Linked DNA regions of Pelodiscus sinensis. The protein of the gene in region 1 purifies or fractionates together with the protein of each later gene. This does not show direct contact. Links are inferred from orthologs where the notes say so. Each region holds a gene or a part of one and is shown on either strand. Other genes may lie near its edges.

Region 1 (3,745 bases):
CAAAGGCCAGGGGCCAGGAGCACAGTTCCACAGGAGTGCACTAAGCCTTGTAGCCACGGGGCTGCGTTCCTCATTTATTCCAGCTTTCTAGCTGTAGAACTGCACAAATGTATGTTTTTACATTACAGAACCTGCAGTCCTGCATCCCAAATCACTGGGAGATTTGCCTGCAGAAGCTTCAAAAGATGCTATTCACACAGCTGGAGTTGCATACCTTAGTTCAACTTTCTGCGGTAGTATAGACGTAGCCTCAAGCAAACAGTTTATCCTTATCGTGAATGGAACCTCTGCATAATCTCCCTTTACCAAACATAGAATACTGCAGCATTTACAGAAGGCATAATTGTAGATGAGCTGTTCTCTATTAGGGAATGAGTCTGTCTGTGAATCTGTTTGTTCAAGAACTCCTCCTAAACAATAAGAGGTAGGGCCACCAAATTCGGTATTCAGCTTCCTCTTACCCTAACTTAAAGCAAGACAGCACTTGTGTCAGGAAAACAGGAAGGGCCAGGAATGGGACTATTTTCCAGAACACGGAAAGGGAAGGCACTGCTGTTCAAGGAGTAAATAGCACCCCTGCCTCAAACCCCTCTTCCCTGGCCCTTGGTTGCTGTACTGAGGGGAAGGAAGACAGTCCCCCAAATGGAACCCCCTCCCACCCTGAGCCCCTTCTCTTCCCCAAACCCTCACTCTTGCACACCCCCCAGCCTCCTGCCCTGCCCTCCACATCCCCCACACCGCCAATCCCCTACTCTGAAGGGCCCAGGCAATGCCAAGTAAGTCTTCTAATATTCATATAAATCAGCATTCAGAAGCCACTGGTGCTCCCCATGGTGCGTACTGTGGGTGGCAAAGAACTATCTGCTTTTCTTATTCAAACCTACTAGGTTACGTTACGGATAATTATGAAACAAATATCTTCCTAATATTAATTTTCATGTAAGCAATTGCTGTAGTTGCAACAGGGAAGCTATAAACAGGAAGGGAACTCTGTAAATTTTAAATAAATAAATGGAGATTGCCTATCTCCTAGAACTGGAAGGGACCTTGAAAGGTCATTGAGTCCAGTCCCCTACCTTCACAGCAGGACCAAGTACCATCCCTGACAAATTTTTGCCCAAAATCACCTCCGCAAAGATTAAACTCACAACCTTGGGTTTAGCAGGCCAATGCTCAAACCACTAAGCTATCCCTCCCCCCTTAAATGTGCTAATGGGAGTGGAGAAGGTCTGTAAAGAGGAGCGGTTGGTCCAAGGGACTAGCTATTAAAAGCATGGGCCACAGACTAAGACCTCCCCGTTAAAATAAGTCCTTCTCCTATTACCTCAGTTTACCACAGAGGGAAGGATAAAAATACTTACATGTACACACATCATGAAAAATCATTAAGTGAACTGGCTAATATTTGAACAAATTCATCACTGACATAATTCAACTTAAGCAACCTTACACCAGGCATTTGTCCCATTGTCTATAGCTTTGTAATTCAGTGTGCATTTTGGTAAATTCTGCTGCTATTCATGGTTAGTAAAGAAAATATTTAGAAACAGTAAGTATCTAGAACACTTATTTCATTTATATTCTAATTGCTCTTAAAAAGCTCCCGGTGGCTTCTTGGTTTTACAATTTCATGAGTAGAGGACAACTGATCTTAGCTACTTAATGTTAATAATATTCTTAGAGTCTCCCTCCAGCATTTCAGTGCATCGATTTTTATCACACTGCATCAGATCTGAATCTGCATTATAGCCAGATCAGCCCCAGAATGAAGCCTGACTCCCCACTTTGTAGGGTGTGAAAACTTAAAAAAGCACCAGGGGCCTAACAAGGGAATAGCTGTGAAGAATGGTAAACACTCAGTTCTCACTGTCAGAATTTTGTTGACCAAAGCATGGATTGGGCTAGACAGAAAAGAGTCTGTACATCCCAACCAGTTTGTCTGGATCGCTTTATTAATAGTTTTGGTGGCACTAAGTGAGACTATACAGCCAGGACCTGCTTCCCCTTTCACAGCTGAGAAATGCCCTCAGGAAGAGCACAGATGATCACTACATCATAAGTAGGGGCGGCATCCCGAGCCAGGCAGCTCTGAAGAAAACCACACGCAAGACCCACAGACGCGGACCCCCACCCGGGCTGTAGGTGTAATCAGGGGCGCTTTGGCATCATTTGATTCTTCTCGCTCGTTCTTCTCTTCTGCTTCCCCTGCGCTCGCTCCAGGCTGGGGGAGGGAAGGGAAGCTGAAGTAAAAGTGAGCAACCGCTCCAGCGGGTGGGCTGCCAGCATCCCTGCCTGGGGGGGAGACCGCTCGGAGCTCGGCTTCGATGCGCAACACCAGCTCGCAGCCCCGGACCCGCAACGGGTCCATCAGCGCCCACAAGCCCAGGCAGGGGCCAGCGAGGCGGCTGCGCAGGCCGGGAGGCCCAAGCGCCGCCCGCCCCTTTCCCCACATCACCGACCGCGGCAAAGGCAGCTCTTACCTGCGGGCCGAGCGCAGAGACCAATCTACAGCGACTCCATGACAAATGGGTTTGTCCCGTCAGCCGACAGACGCGCAGCCGGAGCGCGGCAGAAGTCCCGCCCCGGGCCCCGTCATAGGCTGAGGCGGCCGGCGCGGGCGCAGCGATTTGCTCGTTTGACGTCACTCACCGGCGGATCCCCAGTAGGGCCGCACGTAGGCCAACGACACGTGATGCTGGCTGGGGCGGAACTGGTGGGCGCGGAGCTGGGGGCGGAGACGAGAGGCGCCGAGCGGGTTCTGGGACTCGGAGCAGTCGCTGGCGGAGGAGGCTGAGGATTGCTGCCGGCCAGGTGCTGCGCAGGGAGTCCCGGCTGCGGGGAGGCGGAGGGAGATGTCTGGCGGGATGAGTTGAGAGGCTCAACAGCTCCCCCCTCCCCCCCCAGCAGGGATGTGGGGCGGCCGTTGTTCCCGTGTCCTGACAGCAGTGGCTGCCTGGGCTGTTCCCTGTCGGCCTTGGCCAGCCTGGTGTGTGGGCGGCCCGTGGCAATGCCTGGAACGCGAGGCGCACAGCTCGGGCTGTCTCCACGCTGGGAAGGTTTGTCAAGAGACGTGTGGCCGTGCAAAAATCGCCGAAAGTGAAAACCAGGCCTTCAACCCAGGTTTTCTGCTTCCTGTTGTGGGCAGTCCAGGGCCACATTACTAGCAGCCTGTTGACATAAGCATCCCACAGTGCAGTGTTGTGGGAAGCCAGAGCTGCTTTGTGTGTGTGTGAGGCATGTCAAAGCAGCACAGTGGTTTCACCTGCCCTCCTCCTCCAGCAGCAGGTAGAACAGAAGCATTCCAAGGATTGGTTCTTTGGTCCCCAAATGGAGCAACTCACTCAGCTGTCAGATACTTCCTGAAATTTTGAAAAGGGCATGCTTGCCAGGCAGCAGAGATTAGGGATGTTAAATTTAGATTAATTAACTAATTGAATAGTTGATAGGCTTTTTATCAACCATTTGATTAGTCTATAAGGGTATCTGGCCTTTGAACTGTAGCAAGAGCCCTGCAGGGTGGTGGGGCTAACAGGGATTCCTCTGCTGGCCTTGTACTCCCTGCATGCAAGCATCTGTACATTCCAAAAGCAAAATTGCAGCAGAAGCAGAACAAACAGACTACTTCAGTTCCCGCATACGCTGTTTCCCACTGTGCCTCGACCTCTCCTGCCCTCCTCAGAGATGGTACTGGGATAGTCAACTAGTCTCTTACATCCTTAGAAGAGATCACAAAACACTGCACAGA
Region 2 (3,745 bases), on another chromosome or scaffold:
ACGTTGTTCTACTGTGGCATCCAAGCTGCTCAGCAAAGCTGCTGCTACTTCCGCGCCCGCTAGAGTTGTGTACATCTGTGTCTTTTACACGCTTGGGCTTTGTCTACACGCAGGGTTTCTGCATAAGAAGCGTTTTACAGAAGAGCGTTTTGCCAGATGAACAGTGGCAATGTTCCCTCTCATTTTTTCCACCCATGCATGGAATAAATTTTGTTCTCTGCACTGGGACCTGTGTGGATGTGCACCATCAGTAGAAACAGGGGCTGCCGGAGGCGTGTGACTCTCTCCCGGCGGGCCGCCCCGTGCTGAGCGTAGGGTGGTACCGGGCAGTCACAGCAAAGCGTCCACGGGCTCAGTTTCCCTGCAGCAGTGCGGGGGAGGGGGGGTGGGGGCTGCAGCATCCCCGCCTCACTGGGCATTAAGGGCCCCGAGTCAGCAGAGCACGTGCTCGAGGCCGGCCCTGTCGAGCGCATAGCGGGGCCGCTCAGCTTGTTGGGGGTGGGGCCCTTGCGGGGTGCAGGGGGAGGGGAGAGCCACTCCCCAACCCCTCCCCCACAGGCTGCTGGCAGCCCCGGGCGGGTGACGTGGAAGGCGCCGCCGGGAATCACGGCCGGGGGCGGGAGGGGCGGGCTCAGAGGAGGAGAAATGGGCGGGGCTCTGGGCCACAGGGGCGGAGCCAGAGGGAGCGGTGACGCGGCCTCGGCGGGAGTGGGCGGGGCCAGGGGCGAGGTGGGCGGAGACACGGGCGGGGCTGGCGCCGGGCGGGGGCGTGGCCCGGCGTGCGGCGGCCGGGAGGGGGAGGGGCCGAGCCCTCAGCTGACCGGCCGCCATTTTGTCAGGCGCTGGGCTGAGCGGAGACCGGAGATTCCCGCCGCCGCCGCCGCCTGAGCCCCCGGGGCGCGCGCCGCCTGGCCCCGCGCGGGATGTGAGCGGCCCGGCCCCGCCCCGCCCGGACACGCTCGGCAGCGGCCCCGCCGCCCGCCCCCCCCCCCGGCCCCGCCGCCCAGCGCAGGCCCCGCCGGCCCCGCCGCGATGGCGCTGAAGATGGTGAAGGGCAGCATCGACCGCATGTTCGACAAGAACCTGCAGGACCTGGTGCGCGGCATCCGCAACCACAAGGAGGACGAGGTGGGCCGGGGCGCCGGGCCGGGGGGCTGGGGGGGGAAGGAGCCTGGGGGCCTGATGAGGGGGCTGGGGGTTGGTGGGAGAAGAGGGGCTGAGGGGGGAGGGGAATGGATGGGGGAAGGGTCCTGGGGGCCTAATGGAGGGGGCTGGGGGTTGATGGAAGAAGAGGGGCTGAGGGGGGTGGGGGATTGATGGGAGAAGGGGCCTGATGGGGGAAGGAGCCTGGGGGCCTGATGGGGGGGCGGTCTGGGGGTTGATGGGAGAAGAGGGTCTGAGGGGGGAGGTTCTGGGGATTAATGGGGGGGCTGATAGGAGAGGTGGGTTGGTGGGGGACTTGGGGGTTGATGGGGGAGGGGGGCTGAGGAGGGCAATGTAGGACCAGGTGGGAGTTGCGAGAAGGGGAGTGGGTAGGGGGCAAAATTCTCACAATAGGAGCTGCGGGGGAGGGAGGTACCTTGGGAGCAGTCTGAAGTACAGTGCCCTGCCCCATAGAGAGCCAAGGGCTTCCTTAGATCTAACCCCAGACCTTTGCCTTCTAGGTTCTGCGGGGTAGGTGGCCGCTCCTCTCCTTTCACTGTGGGACCCCCATAGGATTTTGGGGGTGGGTGGCAGCTCCCTTCTCCTATCTCTTTGTGGGGGCTGCGTCCCCCTGTAGGCTTTGGGGGGAGTATGATGTCTATCTCCACTTGAGACCAGGGCTGCCCACAAGGGAACAAGAATCTAGTGGAGAAACTATCTTGTTTTGTCTCTTGTGGTGGGGGTGATTCGGGTCTTCTGCCCCTCTGTGGGCTGTGTATAAGCCTGAGGCTTTTTCTCATCTCGACCCCACATCAAAATAAAAGGTGCCTCTGTTGCTGAAAAGGGGATGTTGTCAGTGGGAAAGTGCAAGCAGTAATGAAAAATGAGGAAGAAGATTCTTGTCCAGGCTAAGCCAAAAGGGAGAGCATTCAAGGAAGCAGGCAGTGGGGTAAGAAAATTAAAAGGGAGGAGAAAGATCTGGCATATGGGAAATTTTTGTTGTTGATATCATGTTAGTGTTGGGGGAGCTAGCCTTGGTTATTTACAGCCTGTGATTTGTAAGTTAAAGGAATTCCTGTCTGATGTCTTAATGAAGTAAGTGACTATTTTCTAGGGTAAGATTGAAGCATAAGAAAATCAAGTTCAAGCATAATTAAGCTTTTTCGTTAGTCATTCAGTTTAGCTTATGTCTAACCACATTTTCAGAAACGTTAATATATAGGCTTATTTAAGGTAGAAACTGAAAGCACTTGAATGTCACCACCTGATATATTCTACTATATTATTTGAGTTAGATGGAAAGTGTGTAATTATTAGTCCAGAACTGGTTTACTTCAGAAGTTAGAATTCTTTTATCAGTTGTTGTCACGTGGTAACTGATCAGGAAGTCCTTGGAGTCTTGGCACAAGTAAACTTGGTATTGGAAACTTTTATATGAACAACTTTCTTAATTATCTTTTTGACAGAATATTAGTAACTCAATGAGAGTTTAGTGCGATAATGCTGCCACAGGTTGGTAAGATAGAACATAGCATCACAGTTATCAACTGTGGAAGGGATTAAGAAACAAATGTAGACATTGGTTGCTAGAACAAATAATTCGGTTGTAAAACTCATTTGTGTTGCATGTTTTTTATCACGGCTGCTCTCAGGCCAAAATGCAGTGTTGCTTTCCAACAGACATTCAACTTTCCAAATAGCTTTAGATTTGGATATTACACACTGATGCTCCACAGTATTAGGCAGTATTCCATAGAACCACATACCAGGAAAAACTACTCAGTCTTAAACTACATAATGTAGTTTAAAGGTGATTTGGTATTGGTTTGGTGGCCTAGGAAGATGTAGCTGTTTTCAAGGACTAAGTGCCCCCCACCCCAAAAAATAAGTTCTGAGCAGCGTGTAGGATTTTATGAAAGAGACAGTTTTTGTTAAATATGAAAAACTATTTACAAATGTTTATGTGCATGTTTGTTGTGAAGGTGATGATATGTATATTAACTTCTTGTAGTTCATGCTAGGGATATGAAAGAGTAGTCAAATAGTTGACTACTTAATAAGCCTAGGAGTCGACTACTCATGTTTCCCCCCCCTTGCTGCCACTTTATCAGAGACAGCAAGGACGGGGGGGGGGGGGTGACACAGGAGCTGGTGCCGGCGGAGCCAGCTCAAAATCCAGTTCTCTCTCCCCCTCACCTCCCCCGCACTGTTTTTGTGGTGCTGGGGGCAGGGGACACAGAGGCGCTGTGGGCTCTTACTATATGTAAAAGGGAGAGGCAAGGCACGGGACTCGCCATGAGCGGGGACTTCCCGGCAGCTCTTACTACATCTAAAAGGCAGAGCCGCAGTGGGGTTAGCTTCTGGGGCTGGTGCGAACTGGGACTGTTTAGTCCTGGCGCTCACTGCTCCCAGGAGCTCGCTCCACTGTGGCTCTGCAGTTTAAATGTAGTAGGAGCTGGACTGCTGCATGCCCAGCTCCTATTACATTAAAACTGCAGAGCTGCAGCGGGGGGTAGTGAGCGCCCCCCATATCGACTAATCACATAGTTGATGGCAATTCCATCGACTGCTCGATTAGCTGATTAATCACAATTTAACATCC

The links.
Region 2: the proteins of RNF13 (region 1) and AP3D1 purify together in Homo sapiens (affinity purification with mass spectrometry; 3 studies listed by BioGRID and IntAct, counting the BioPlex papers as one, with this or other methods). This does not show direct contact. The link is inferred for Pelodiscus sinensis from reciprocal best matches to the Homo sapiens genes RNF13 and AP3D1.

The regions. Positions count from the first base shown.
Region 1 is NC_134720.1:26,050,330-26,054,074, reverse strand, and holds the start of RNF13 (E3 ubiquitin-protein ligase RNF13), read right to left. Parts: upstream 2,641-3,745; 5' UTR 2,481-2,640; intron 1-2,480. Other genes in the region: protein ANKUB1, read left to right, coding at 2,910-3,056. UniProt on the Homo sapiens protein: E3 ubiquitin-protein ligase that regulates cell proliferation. Involved in apoptosis regulation. Mediates ER stress-induced activation of JNK signaling pathway and apoptosis by promoting ERN1 activation and splicing of XBP1 mRNA.
Region 2 is NC_134729.1:27,439,780-27,443,524, forward strand, and holds the start of AP3D1 (AP-3 complex subunit delta-1), read left to right. Parts: upstream 1-813; 5' UTR 814-1,032; coding exon 1,033-1,128; intron 1,129-3,745. UniProt on the Homo sapiens protein: Part of the AP-3 complex, an adaptor-related complex which is not clathrin-associated. The complex is associated with the Golgi region as well as more peripheral structures.